Linked DNA regions of Stegostoma tigrinum. The protein of the gene in region 1 purifies or fractionates together with the protein of each later gene. This does not show direct contact. Links are inferred from orthologs where the notes say so. Each region holds a gene or a part of one and is shown on either strand. Other genes may lie near its edges.

The links.
Region 2: the proteins of abce1 (region 1) and lto1 purify together in Homo sapiens (affinity purification with mass spectrometry; 4 studies listed by BioGRID and IntAct, with this or other methods). This does not show direct contact. The link is inferred for Stegostoma tigrinum from reciprocal best matches to the Homo sapiens genes ABCE1 and LTO1.

The regions. Positions count from the first base shown.
Region 1 is NC_081354.1:46,099,602-46,107,365, reverse strand, and holds the start of abce1 (ATP-binding cassette sub-family E member 1), read right to left. Parts: upstream 3,243-7,764; 5' UTR 3,054-3,242; intron 1-3,053. UniProt on the Homo sapiens protein: Nucleoside-triphosphatase (NTPase) involved in ribosome recycling by mediating ribosome disassembly. Able to hydrolyze ATP, GTP, UTP and CTP. Splits ribosomes into free 60S subunits and tRNA- and mRNA-bound 40S subunits.
Region 2 is NC_081370.1:61,764,224-61,771,646, reverse strand, and holds the start of lto1 (protein LTO1 homolog), read left to right. Parts: upstream 1-4,413; 5' UTR 4,414-4,461; coding exon 4,462-4,514; intron 4,515-5,000; coding exon 5,001-5,106; intron 5,107-7,423. UniProt on the Homo sapiens protein: The complex LTO1:YAE1 functions as a target specific adapter that probably recruits apo-ABCE1 to the cytosolic iron-sulfur protein assembly (CIA) complex machinery. May be required for biogenesis of the large ribosomal subunit and initiation of translation.

The DNA.
Region 1 (7,764 bases):
TTTGTACACCTCCCATGCAGTGGTAACCTTGTATGCTTCGTTCTAAACACCTGATCATCCGTATGTCATTGTATGTTATGAGCTGCCTGCACTGCACACAAAGCAAAACTTCTCACTGTACTTAGGTACATGTAACAATATCTCAAATATTGTCACTTTTCTTTGTGACTTATGTATCATTACATCTAGATCGACTCGCTGACAACTCACATTTTAATCACATTATCTTCTAATAACTAGATTTTTGCCACTCTCCAATTATTTGTCCGCAAATTCTAAGGTTTCTTCACAATATTCTTTCCTATCAATTGTTGTGTGACTTTAGTTACCATACCTTTCACTCCTTTCACCTAATTTATTGATCTAAGTTGTGAAAGCTGCCGCCTTAGCAGAGTCTCTTGCAGAACCCTCCCACTCATCACATCCTACCAAAGACCCTCTATATGATCTTCTGTCAGCCTTTTCTCTCTGCTAATATGTTACCAGATACATTATGGGCTTTTATTTTGTGCAGTGATCCTTGGAAACCCACGTCTATTACACAAATAAGCTCTCCCTCATCCACGATGTATGCTATTCCTACAATTAACTCCAATAAATTGGCTAAACATGATTCTCTTTTGATGAAACCATGATAAATCTTCCTGATTACCTCTGGTTTCTTTTGGAAGTGTGGAGCTGCAATCTCTAACAATTAACTTCCATATGCAAGCTATCAAGCTGACTATAAAAGATACCCTTTTTCTGCCCGCCCTCCCCTTTTTTGACAAGGTTATACTTGTAACTTTCTAGTCCATTGGAATCCTTCCTGAAACCCTGGAATTTTGGAAAATTAACAAACGGACATATCCAGCCAATTAGCCACACATTTTAAGACCCAAGGACAAAGTTCGTCTTGGCCCAGATTGGAAGTGGTCAAAAGTGAGTTTAAGCGGTAATAATTTGGTTTAGGATAATTATGGCCTTGGGAAAAATAATACTCAGCAAGTACTAGTGAAAATAAGAATAGCAGAGAAGCTTTCGGAAGAAATGATCAAGTAGATTGGGCCCCAGGCACAGCCAAAACAGAACAGGGAAATAAGAATAAAGCTCAGTGAAGAGGTCAGAGAAAGAATTCCTGCCTTTAAGATGTAAACTACAAGAATCATGGGAAATCCTATATCTATTGCTTCTTAATTAGTAAACATTGAATTAAATACTGCCTTTTTCTAAAAAAAATCTCTGTTGCAACTATTCTCTGCACAATGATGGCTGACAGGTGACTTGGTGGGAAATTGCCATTTGGTGTTATGGATCAGACCAAACACCCTCAAATTATTTTAGGGTAGTCTAGACCCTGAGTTTTCTTTTAATTTTAAAAGCAAATCTAAGTGTCTGTTCCAGATAAAATGAGACTGGTCAATCTACTCAATGTGAAGGAAAACAATTTAAACACTGTCACTAAAATACAACCAAAGAACTTAGAATAATTTAATTCTATTGGAAGACTTAATAGTAATATATAGTAACTATTACTAATTAACTGTTCCAACATAGTAACATTCTACAAACACTCCCCTTGGCAAAAAAAAAGGAAAATTCAGACAAATTCTCACATGCAGTTCTCCCATCCAGGAGAAAGAAACATCAAGAGAAAATTCAGAAAGTTGCAGCGAGGTAGTCACTGAAGCATCCAACTCTGTTGACACCCCAATAGCTTCTGATGCTACAGACAAAATCAAAACCCAGAAAAGTGGATCAGAGAGCTGGCCATACCAATCAGGCTATTTTAAAGCAAAACATCAAAGGCCTGCCAAGCTGTTTACTCAAGCGGTCTCCAGTAGCCAGCTCAATACTTCTGCTGTATAATCTCTCCAAAAAAATGGACAAAATAACCACTTAAAGTGACAGCACTATCATATTAGGCTTTTGTTAACCAAATGTTTTATTGGTCTGAAAGGTATAAATTGAACTCCAGTTTAATTAATACCATTTACATTATGATTGCCATTTCACCGAGGTCCTCTTACTTTCATGATCAGATTTCAAACTATCACTATCACTTGGCAGATCAAAATCCTAGCGGTTCCTTTCTAATAACACTGAACATAAATCTACACAGTTTGTGTGGTGTAAGTAAGTAAGTCAGCAGTTCCGACTATCTCGAGAGAAGTTAGTAATGAGTAATAAAACCTGGCCTTGTCAGTGACACCTCTAAAATATTTAAGAAAAAACCCAAAACACATGCCCATTAAACTGAAGAATATTTAATAAGTATTGCATAACTAAGTCATTTTTCAGATTAATGCGACAAGATCAATATTAGACTCAAACGCAGACAAACCCACAAACTGTGATATAAAAAAATGTTTCCTTAGGGAGGTGAAGAAATGCTTCAAACCTCTGCCTCTCAATAAACGTGATAGGTTTTCAGCCTTATTTTCTACAAACAAAACTAATTTTAACTAATCTCAACAAGGTAAGACACAACTCAATGAAGAAAACAACAATTTTAGGTTTTGAGACGTTCATCACAGTGTATTTCAGAGTAGTGCATTTAGTACGGCAAAAGTTCGCAGCTTAACAGAATTTTTACCAGAATGCTATTTATAGTTCAATTTTTTGACAAATGAAAGACAATGATAAAGCCACAACCCCTCTCAAACTTGCGCGTGATATATACGTTTCAAACTTGAACACCTACAGCATTTAATTGATTCATTGCATGATGGAGTAATATAATTCAAACGGCTACACTTCTTCAGAATTTGATTAGCGTGAAAAACCAACTGTTTTAACAAATACGTCATCTTCTGCCCAACTCTCCTCGCCTTAACGTTAAGATTTAAGGCCTGTAACAGCACTGCCATCTCCAGCGAATGCTGTGCTTATTGCCCAAAAATTATTAACAGGTAGACTCGTTTGCGGCCTATGTAAGGCAATGAGCCCGAGGCCTGCATGATGTCCACGTTCTTGCTCACTGCCTCCCTCTCACAAACTCTTACCCCACCCCTGCCCTGAGTCACATGGAAATCTTCCTTGCACCGAATACACTCCTCTGATCACTCCTTTACCTGAGCGGACGCTGTGAAGGTGCAAGTAGCAGCCACTGCCCAAGCCAACGCCTCATAAGTATTATCTCTTGTCTGTCTGATGTGACAAATCCTCTCAAGTTTTAGCTTCACACTACAAACGTGCTCCTCAGGAGTGAAAAAAAGCCGGTGAAGATGGCCCCCTACAGGCATGCGCAATGCCCACATTCAATGGCGCCTGACGCCAGCGCGTTGACGGTTGACGTGTTCCGGTGGCGCCGGTGGAGGGGAGTTGGAATGTTGAGGAAGCCGGACCGTAATAGAGCTTGTTTGAAGTTCATCTTTGCCGGTTCAATAAGGTAAGTGAAACTACTTCGTATGGGGTTACTGAGACTATACCTCGAAGTGAACCGTATTGAGGGGACAGTGAAGTTCGGATTGTGAACGATATCACCCCCCCCCGGAAAAATAAGCACCTGTCAAAATGCTGCCACGCTCCTGGTCATTAACACTGATCGCTGAATCCATCCAGTGTGGAAGCAGACCATTTGGCCTATCGACTCCACACCAACTCTCCGAAGAGCATCTCACCCAAACCCACTTCCGCCTCCTACCGTATTCCCTTGTAACCTTGCATATTGCCCAGGTCAATTCACCTAATCTGTACAATCCGGCACACAATGGCCAATCCACCTAAACTGCACATCTTTGGACTGTGGGAGGAAACCCATGCAGACACAGGGAGAATGTGTAAACTCCACACAGACATTCGCCCGAGCATGACGACTGAACGAACCACCGTGCCGCGGTAGCAGTGCCTGCGTTTACGATTATCTGTGGGAAGTTCGCCTCTATCTCCTCCGGTAACGAAGATTTGGAGTGGAATACAACAGTACAACATTGCACTTCGTGTTCATTCCTTCTGGACAGTGGCCCGGGATTAGGCAGGTCAACACTAAGGAGGTTCCGGCTTTTCTGACACCTGTTGTAGTGCATTTGTTAACTGCCTGAGCAGGCCAATGAGTAGCTTGTGGAGGTTTCGTATTGAACCTCAGTGATGATGCGCTGACCAAGTTTTTTCCAACGCGTTCTGTTTTTATACCAGTTTATTAGGCAGTTTGTTACTGGACTGCCAACGATGAGATGATGTGCTTTCTCTTGCTGCTAAGAATAATTTAAAACAGTTTGACCACAAAGAAAACACCTGATCTGTTGAACAAAAACAAAGTTGCTGGAAAAGCTCAGCAGGTCTGGCACATCTGTGAAGAAAAAAAAGTTAACGTTTCGGTTCGGGTGACCCCTTCATCAGAACTGAAATCCTAACGGGTAACACTACAGTTGTTATGGGAGATTTCAACATGCAGGTAGACTGGGAGAATCAGGATGGTACTGGACCCCAAGAAAGGGAGTTTGTGGAGTGCCTCTGAGATGGATTCTTAGAACAGCTTGTACTGGAACCTACCAGGGAGGAGGCAATTCTGGATCTGGTGTTGTGCAATGAACCGGATTTGATCAGGGACCTCAAAGTAAAGGAGCCATTATGAGGTAGTGACCATAATATGATAACTTTTAATCTGCAGTTTGAGAGGGAGAAGGGAGAATCGGAAGTGTCAGTATTGCAGTTGAATAAAGGGAACTGTGGAGCTATGAGGGGGGAGCTGGCCAAAGTTCAATGGTACAGTACCCCAGCAGGGATGGCAGTGGAACAACAATGGCAGGTATTTCTGGATATAATGCAGAAGGTGCAGGATCAGTTCATACCAAAGAGGAAGAAAGATCCTAAGGGGAGGCAGGGGCGGCTGTTGCTGACGAGGGAAGTTATGGACTGTATAAAGATAAAAAAGAAGTATAACATAGCAAAGATGAGTGGGAAGCTGGAGGACTGGGAAGCTTTTAAAGAGCAATGGCGGATAACTAAAAAGGCAATACACAGGAAAAAATGAGCTATGAAGGCAAACTGGCCAAAAATATAAAGGAGGATAGTAAAAGCTTTTTTAGGTATGTGAAAAGAAAAAAAAATGGTTAAGACTAAAATTGGGCCCTTGAAGTCAGAAATGGGTGAATTTATTATGGGGAACAAGGAAATGGCAGAAGAGTTGAATAGGTACTTTGGATCTGTCTTCACTAGGGAAGACACAAGCAATCTCCCAGACGCAATAGTGGCTGAAGGACCTAGGGTAATGGACGAACTGAAGGGTATTTATATTAGGCAGGAAATGTTGTTGGATAGACTGTTAGGACTGAAGGCCGATAAGTCCCCGGGACCTGATGGTCTTCATCCCAGGGTACTTAAGGAGGTGGCTCTAGAAATTGTGGATGCGTTGGTAATTATCTTCCAAGGTTCTGTAGATTCAGGATCAGTTCCTGCGGATTGGAGGGTGGCAAATGTTGTCCTACTTTTCAAGAAAGGAGGGAGAGAGAAAACAGGAAATTATAGACCGGTTATCCTGATGTCAGTGGTGGGAAAGATGAAATTACGACTCATTTGGATAGCAGTAACAGAATTGGTCAGAGTCAGCATGGATTTACGAAGGGGAAATTGTGCTTGACTAATCTTCTGGAATTTTTTGAGTATGTATCTATGAAGATGGATAAGGGAGAACCAGTGGATGTAGTGTACCTGGACTTTCAGAAAGCCTTTGATCAAGTCCCGCATAGGAGATTGGTGAACAAAATTAGGGCACATGGTATTGGGGGCAAAATACTGAGTTGGATTGAAAATTGGCTGGTTGGCAGAAAGCAAGGAGTAGTGATAAACGGGTCCCTTTCAGAATGGCAGGCAGTGACCAGTGGGGTACCACAAGGTTCGGTACTGGGACCGCAGCTGTTTACGATATATATTAATGATATAGACAAAGGCATTAAAAGTAATATTAGCAAATTTGCCAATGACACGACGTTGGGTGGCAGTGTGAAATGTGAGGAGGATGTTATGAGAATACAGGGTGACTTGGACAGGCTAGGTGAGTGGACGGATGCATGGAAGATGCAGTTTAATGTGGATAAATGTGCGGTTATACACTTTGGTGGCAAGAACAGGAAGGCAGATTACTATCTCAATGGAGTCAAGTTAGGTAAAGGGGAAGCACAACGAGATCTAGGTGTTCTTGTACATCAATCAATGAAAGCAAGCATGCAGGTACAGCAGGCAGTGAAGAAAGCTAATAGCATGCTGGCCTTCATAACAAGAGGAATTGAGTATAGGAGCAGAGAGGTCCTCCTGCAGCCTTACAGGGCCCTGGTGAGACCACACCTGGAGTATTGTGTGCAGTTTTGGTCTCCAAATTTGAGGAAGGACATTCTTGCTATTGAGGGAGTGCAGCGTAGGTTCACGAGGTCAATTCCTGGAATGGCAGAACTATCATATGTTGAAAGATTGGAGCGACTGGACTTGTATACACTTGTGTTTAGGAGGATGAGAGGGGATCTGATTGAGGCGTATAAGATTATTAAGGGATTGGACACTGTGGAGGTGGAGGCAGGAAGCATGTTTCTGCTGATGGGTGAGTCCAGAACCAGAGGACACAGTTTAAAAATAAGGGGTAGGCCATTTAGAACAGTATTGAGGAAAAACTTCTTCACCCAGAGAGTGGTGGATATATGGAATGCTCTGCCCCAGAAGGTAGTGGAGGCCAAGTCTCTGGATACTTTCAAGAAAGAGATAGATAGAGCTCTTAAAGATAGAGGAATCAAGGGTTATGGGGATAAGGCGGGAACAGGATACTGATTGTGGATGATCAGCCATGATCATAATGGATGGTGGTGCTGGCTCGAAGGGCCGAGTGGCCTACTCCAGCACCTATTGTCTATTGTCTAACCCTTCTGTAGTTCTGATGAAGGGTCACCGGATCCGAAACGTTAACTTTTTTTTTCTTCACAGATGCTGCCAGATCTGCTGAGCTTTTCCAGCAACTTTATTTTTGTTCCTGATTCACAGCATCCGCAGTTCTTTCGGTTTCTACCTGACCTATTGAAATTGAAATGCCTTGTTTAAAATAGATCTTCATTCATGGGATGTGGGAGTTGCTGAAAGGCAGCATTCATTGCCTGTCCCAAACTGTTTGACCATGCAATGAATGAGACATCTTGAACTACTCCATTTCATTTGGTCAAGTATATCCAGAATGTTCTTGTGAATTTCAGGATCACTTGTATATTTTGAAATATGATATGTGAGTTGGAGAATGTTGGAGGTGTTCTAGTCTGTGTATAGATGATGTCCTTCAAAACGGTGGAAGCTTATACTCTTGGAAACTGTTTTTCAAGGATTTCTGCATCTTGTAGACAATGATCAATGCAGCTATGATGTGCCAAGGTTGGTAGGTGTGAATGTTGAAGATGGTCGATGATGTGGCAGTCAAGTGGGCTATTTGTCTCATTTTCTGCCACTAGTCCACCCATTCTATCAGACTATTTCCTCTTGAAGTTTATCACTATCTTCTTTTCTGTTCAGAATGCTTCCAAATGAGTAATTGGCAAATTTTGCAATGGCACCTGTACTCTGAGCCATCAATTTATGTATTTCGAAAAACAGTGATCCTGACGTTGTAGGCAATTCCCACTGTATACCTTCTTCCAATCTGGAAAACAATTGTACAGGGTCAATTGTATGAGTACCACATTTCCTGTAATTCAGCCTTTTTTTAACCTCAACTATTGCTGTATCTTTCATACCATGAGCTCAAACTTAGAAACCAGTTTATATGACACTTTATGACTCTCTTGTGAAAGTCTATTGTACATCAACCATACT
Region 2 (7,423 bases), on another chromosome or scaffold:
CTGGGCTTAACCTCGAGGCTAGGAGTCTGTGCTGGGCTCCACCTTGGGGCTGGGAGTCCGCGCTGGGCTCCACCTCGAGGCTGGGAGTCTGCGTTGGGCTTCAACTTGGGTCTTGGAATCTGTGCTGGGCTCCACCTCAGGGCTTGGAGTCCATGCTGGGCTTCACTTTGAGTCTGGTTGTCCACGCTGGGCTTCACCTCAAGGCTGGGAGTCTGTGCTGGGCTTCATCTTGAGGCTGGGTGTCTATGCTGGGCTCCACCTCGAGGCCGGGAGTCCGTGCTGGGCTTCACCTCGAGACTGGGAGTCCGGGCTGGGCTTCACCTCGAGGCTGGGAGTCCGTGCTGGGCTTCACCTTGAGGCTGGGAGCCTACGCTGGGCTTCATCTTGAGACTGGGAATCTGTGCTGGGCTTCACTTTGAGGCTGGGAGTCTGCGCTGGGTTTCACCTCGAGGTTGGGAGCCCACGCTGAGCTTCACTTCAGGGCTGGGAGTCCGTGCTGGGCTTCACCTCAGGGCTGGGAGTCCGCGCTGGGCTTCACCTCGGGGCTGGGAGTCTGCGCTGGGCTTCACCTCGGGGCTGGGAGTCCGTGCTGGGCTTCACTTCGGGGCTGGGAGTCTTCATTGGGCTACACCTCGAGGCGAGAAGTCCACGCTGGGCTTCACCTTGAGGCTGGGAGTCCGCGCTGAGCTTCATTCCAGGGCTGGGAATCTGTGCTGGGCTTCATCTTGAGGCTGGGAGTCCGTGCTGGGCTTCATCTCGAGGCTGGGAGTCCGTGCTGGGCTTAATGTCGAGACTGGGCTGGCTAGAAAGGGGAAAACAAAATGAGGAACTCTAGGTCAGGAGCCCTACAGATCCGCCACCCTGGAAGGAAGATTGGTATTACTGCATACAATTCTGGTCATCCTGGTATGGGGAAGGATATTATTAAATTGGTAATGTGTGAAAAAGATTTATAAGGATATACTGAGACTGGAAGGTTTGAGTTTAAGGGAGGCTGCATAGGCTGGGAGTTTCTCCCTTGAAGCATAGGAGACTGAGGGGTGACCTTATTGATGTTTATAGCGTTATGAGGGGTATGGATAAGGTGAATAGCCAAGGTCTTTTTTTCCCCAGGTTAGGAGAGTTTAAAACTAGAGGACATAGGTATAAGGTGAGAAGGGTAAGATTTTACAAGTGGCCTGAGGGCAACGTTTACACACGGAGGGTGGTGTATATATAGAATGAACTGCCAGAGGATGTGGCAGAGGCTGGTACAATTACAACATTTAAAAGATATTTGGACAGACATGAATAGGAAAAGTATAGAGGGATACGGGCCAAATGGCACTAGTTCTGTCTGGGAAATGTGTCAATTAATGTCGTGTCTGGGCTGGCTAGAAAGGGGAAAACAAAATGAAAGGCAATCAAAGAAACAAAGAAACCTACAGCACAGGAGCAGGCCCTTCGGCCCTCCAAGCCTGCTCCGATCAAGATCCTCTGTCTAACCTGTCATCTATTTTCTAACGGTCTGTGTCCATTTGCTCCCTGCTCATCCATGTACCTGTCCAAATATACCTTAAAAGACACTAACGTGTCTGCGTCTACCACCTCCGCTGGGAACGCGTTCCAGGCACCCACCACCCTCTGTGTAAAGAACTTTCCACGTATATCTCCCTTAAACTTTCCTCCTCTCACTTTGAACTCATGACCCCTAGTAATTGAATCCCCCACTCTGGGACAAAGCTTCTTGCTATCCACCCTGTCTATACCCTTCATGATTTTGTCGACCAATGGAAGTCAATGGCCTAGAGGTATTATTGCTGAACTGCTAATTCAGAGACACATTATGTTCTGGGGGGCTGGGTTTGAATCCTGACACAGCAGATTGTGGAATTTGAATTCAATAAATATCTAGAATAAAGAACCTAATCGTGACTGTGAACACATTGTTGATTGTCAGGAAAACCCCATTTGGTTCACTAATGCCCTTTAGAACATAGAACATAGAACAGAGAACAATACAGCACAGAACAGGCCCTTCGTCCCTCGATGTTGCGCCGACCTGTGAACTAATCTAAGCCCATCCCCCTACACTATCCCATCATCATCCATCTGCTTATCCAAGGACTGTTTAAATGCCCCTAATGTGGCTGAGTTAACTACATTGGCAGGCAGGGCGTTCCACACCCTTACCACTCTCTGAGTAAAGAACCTGCCTCTGACATCTGTCTTAAATCTATCACCCCTCAATTTGTAGCTATGCCCCCTTGTACAAGCTGATGTCATCATCCTCGGAAAAAGGCTCTCACTGTCCACCCTACCTAATCCTCTGATTATCTTGTATGTCTCTATTAAATCCCCTCTTAGCCTCCTTCACTCCAATGAGAACAGACCCAAGTCCCTCAGCCTTTCTTCATAAGGCATTCGCTCCAGACCAGGCAACATCCTCGTAAATCTTCTCTGCACCTTTTCCAATGCTTCCACATCCTTCCTGTAAAGGGGCGACCAGCACTGCATGCAATATTCCAAATGAGGCCGCACTAGCGTTTTGTACAGTTGCAGCATGACATCTTGGCTCCGGAACTCAATCCCTCTACCAATTCTAGTAGTCCATAACTCAGTCGTCTCCCTCTACCGTAAACCTTCTTAACAGCACTATCAACCCGGGTGGCAACTTTCATGGATCTATGTACATGGATACCAAGATCCCTCTGCACATCCACACAACCAAGAATCTTTCCACTGACCCAGTATTCTGCCTTCCTTTTATTCTTCCCAAAGTGAATCACCTCACATTTATCCACATTGAACTCCATTTTCCACCTTTCAGCCCAATTCTGCAGTTTATCCGAGTCTCCCTGCGACCTGCAACATTCTTCCACACTGTCCACCACTCCACTGACTTTAGTGTCATCTGCAAACTTACTAACCCATCCACTTATGCCTGCGTCCAAGTCATTTATAAAAATGACAAGCAGCAGTGGTCCCACAACAGATCCTTAAGGCATACCACTAGTAACCTGACTCTAGGCTGAATATTTTCCATCAACCACCACTCGTTGCCTTCTTACAGAAAGCCAGTTTCTAATCCAAACTGCTAAATCTCCTCAGTCCCGTGCCTCTGTATTTTCTCCATTAGCCTACCATGTAGAACCTTATCAAAGGCTTTACTGAAGTCCATGTACACCACGTCAACTGCCCTACCCTCATCCACATGCTTGGTCACCTTCTCAAAAAACTCAGTGAGGTTTGTGAGACACGACCTGCCCTTGACGAATCCATGCTGACTATCTCCAATCAAATTGTTGCTTGCTAGATGATTATGAATCCTATCTCTTATAATCCTTTCCAAAACTTTTCCTACAACAGACGTAAGGCTCACAGGTCTTTAATTACCTGGGTCATCTCTACTGCCCTTCTTGAACATGGGCACAACATTTGCAATCCTCCAGTCCTCTGGTACTAAACCTGTAGACAATGAGGACTCAAGGATCAAGGCCAAAGGCTCCGCCACCTCCTCCCTGGCTTCCCAGAGAATCCTTAGAAAAATACCCTCCAGCCCAGGGGATTTATCTACCTTCACACCTTCTCGAATTGATAACACCTCCTCCTTACTAACCTCAATCCTTTCAATTCTAGTAGTCCATAACTCAGTCGTCTCCTCTACAATATTCTCCTGTTCCTCAGTGAAAACAGATGAGAAATAATCATTTAGCACCTCTCCGATCTCCACAGGGTTCACACACAACTTCCCACTTCGGCCTTTAACTGGCCCTATTCCTACCATAGTCATCCTCTTACTCCTCACATACCTATAGAAAGCTTTAGGGTTCTCCTTTATTCTACCTGCCGATGTCTGCTCATGTCCCCTCCTTGCTCTTCTTAACTCTCTCTTTAAATTCTTCCAAGCTAATCTGTAACTCTCCATCGCCACATCTGAACCATCTCGTCTCATCGTCACATAAGCCTCCCTCTTCTGCTTAACAAGAGATACAATTTCTTTAGTAGTCAATTTCCTTAGGGATGATAACTACCATCCTTACCTGGTCTGGCCTATTTGTGACTCAAAACCCACAGCAATGTCGTTGACTCTTGACTGCCCTCTGGGCAAATAGGAATGGGCCTAGCCAGTCACGCCCTCATCCTGTGAATGTATAAAGGGGGAAAATGTTGGGCTGAAGGGTCTCTTTCTGGGCTGTATGACTCCAAATTCTGTATGATTCCAGTTTCAGCTGATGTTGTAAAGCAGGGACTGTCTCAGATATTTTCTAATCAGCCTGCTCAGAGATGTTATTGCACACCTGAGCAGTAGGTGGGACTGGAACTCAGGCCTCCTGCCTCAGAGGCAGGGACACCACCGCTGCGCATTTAGAATTGCAGTGGGGTCCTGTTTAAAAAGTGGGTCGTGGGCCCTTTAAGATGATTTCACGGAAACTGCGCGGGCGCAGCGCCGGGCCCGGGCGCGCATGCGCTTCTCTTCCAATGGCGGATCCCGGCGGCGATTTGTTCGACAGCATCGTTCTGGCGGAGGATCGGTAATAAACTCCCTAAACAGCCCCCCACCCCACAAAAAAAAATCACCCCGCCTCAAAAATACCCCAAATAATACCCTGTCCCTGAATGTACCGTCATGAACAGCCACCCCCCGGTCTGGTGGTGTATCAGTAATAAACACGCCCCTCAGTATACCCCCTGAATAAACACCTCCCCCCAGACATTCCTGTAAACGTACCCCCGAATAATAGCCCCCACCCACACAGACAGCATCGCCCTGGTGATTGAATGGTAACTGCTACCCCCTCTGCACCCAATAACCTCCTTTTGTGCTCCTGAGATGCTGCTTGGCCTGCTGTGTTCATCCAGCCTCACATTTTATTATCTTGGAATCTCCAGCATCTGCAGTTCCCATTATCTCTGATACTATTTTAACCTCCCACCACCCCCTCTTTTGCTGGCCACCCCAAATTCTTTTCTAAGGTTGATTGCATCTCTCCTTGTTGAATTTTTCGTGTGGTTGGCAGATTTCGTGGGGAAGGTTATCAGGAAGGGTTTACAGAAGGAAGTCATTTGGGAGAAACTGAGGGACGACGCTATGGCTCGGCAAATGGTGCTAAGATTGGATCAGAGGTAAGCTGTGAGTACAGTTGTACAGCAGTCATAGGGTTTAGCATGTTAAAGCAGTCTGTATTGTACACAGTTAAACATGAGGGAATACATTGTTGCGTAGGAGCTTGCTGTGAAAATTCATTCTAAAAATTCTGGAATGCAATAATGATTATGTTTCAAAAGTACTTAACTGGGTGTAAAGTGCTTTTGGTATGCCCTGAAAGATGCTAGATAAATACAGTTCCCATCAAGACCTCCCTTCCAGAAGGACCTGACTCGTACTGAGATGTTATTACACAGTCTTCGAGTGCCTCCTGTTCGTCTCTCAAGAACACATTTTACATGAGTAATCCTGGAAAGTGGGGTTCTATTGAAAATGCAGAATTGTGAAACAGTGACATAAATGAGTAAAGACGGTTCTCCATAATGCATTTGTTGATCATTGTTTTCAGTTCTTTGCTTTGAATATTTTTGTAATATATCCCAAACTTGGCCCTGTTTGTTGCCATCGTAGCAAATGTTTGGAATTGAATTTTTATATAACTATTAACTGACTCTCTTCCTTAAAACATATTATAGTGAGTGGTTTTTGGCGGTGTTCTACACATCTGTTTGATTTGCATCACTAATTCTCAAGTGAAGCCAAAATCTTGGAGGGAGTTCAAGAAATTGCTTTGGCACATGGAATCAACCATGACCTAGCTGAATAGCGAAAATGGCTCAAATGGGTTGACAGATCTACTCTTGTTCCTTTTGAGGTCACTTGTTGTGGTGTTATTACTTCCAGCACAAATCTAAATTTCATATCTGGATCAGCTGGAAAACTACCAGACACAAATCTAAAAGTGTAAATGCTCTTTGACTTTCAAGGATCTGCAACTTTTATTTAGAAAACTTAAAACAAGATACTTCAGAATCTGGAATAACTGGAGAAACCCAGCAGGTCTGGCAGTGTCTGTGGAGAAAGAAACTGAGTTAACATTTGATACGTTAAGTTTGATATGACTGTTCACAATATTTCCTTTGGGACAGATCTTAACATTTGTACTGGACTTGAAACGCTGACTCGGTTTCTCTTTCTACAAATGCTGACATGCTGAGTTGCAGCAGCGCTTTGTTTTCATTTGTATTTATAAAACACCTTTAAAATAGTGAGTCTGAAGACACTTTGCAGGGGCATTATTTAATATTGAGCCTCATAAGGAGATATTAAGGCAACTGACAAAAAGTTTGGTCAAAGAGATATGTTTCAAGGAGTGGTTTAAAAGAGTTTTCTGAGGGAACTCCAGCACTTAGGACCTTAAGGCTAAGATCCTAGTGCAGTTTAATTAAAATCAAAATGCTGGAGTGGCCAGAAGTGGCAAAGCACCAATATGGTAGACAACTGTGGGCCTTGAGGAAATTTTAAGATGGGTTTGAGGGTGGGGGAAGGTGATGCAAGGCTCTGAAACAAAAACTATGATTTTTAAAATGGGTTTGTAATGTAAGTCAGTGAGGACATGGTAATGAATGAAAATGATTCTATGTATGTTAGGAGTAGGGCAGCAGAGTTTTGGGTGACCTTCAGTTTATGGAGGATAGAATATTGAGTGCTAGCCAGGATGTGGTGCAACAGTCTTGAAATAACACTGGAAGTGATGAGGCTTTCATCAGCAGATGAGCAGAGACAGGGCAGAGTTAGACAGTGTCACAATAATGGAACTATGCATTCTCAAGTAATGTTGTAGACAGAGTCATATGTCCCACCAAGGTTGTAAATGATCTGGTTTGGCCTCGGACAGTTGTCAGGGAGAAGGGTAGAGGTGGTGGAAAGGTAGTGTTTCATTATTATTCGTTTCAGAGGAATTGTTTCAGTGACGTTGACTAATAATAGATTATAATCTGAGGTTGACATTTTTGGGAAATTTGACCTGGTAGGTGCGGGAAAGTTTGTTTCCCCTTGCGAGAGAGTTTAGGACTGGGGCAGAATCTCAGAACAAGGGGTTGCCAATTAGGACAGATGAGGAATATCTTGTCTCAGAGGATAGTGAATGTGTGGAATTCTTTACCATAGAGGACTGCAAGGCTGCATTATTAAGTATATTCCAGGCTGAGGCAGATTTTTAATCAGTGAAGGAACCAAGGACCATGGGAAAAGGGTTGGAAAGTGGAGTTGAGGATTATCAGATTAACCATGATCTCATTGAATGTTTGAATGGCCGGTCTCTAATCCCATGTGTTATAGGTTTATTTACTGATAAAGAATACTCAAGTCATTGTAAAACTTGTATAATTTTGGATCTGTACAGGAGCAATGTATTCAGAATAGTGTATTGTGTTACAGGATACCTCTTCAAAC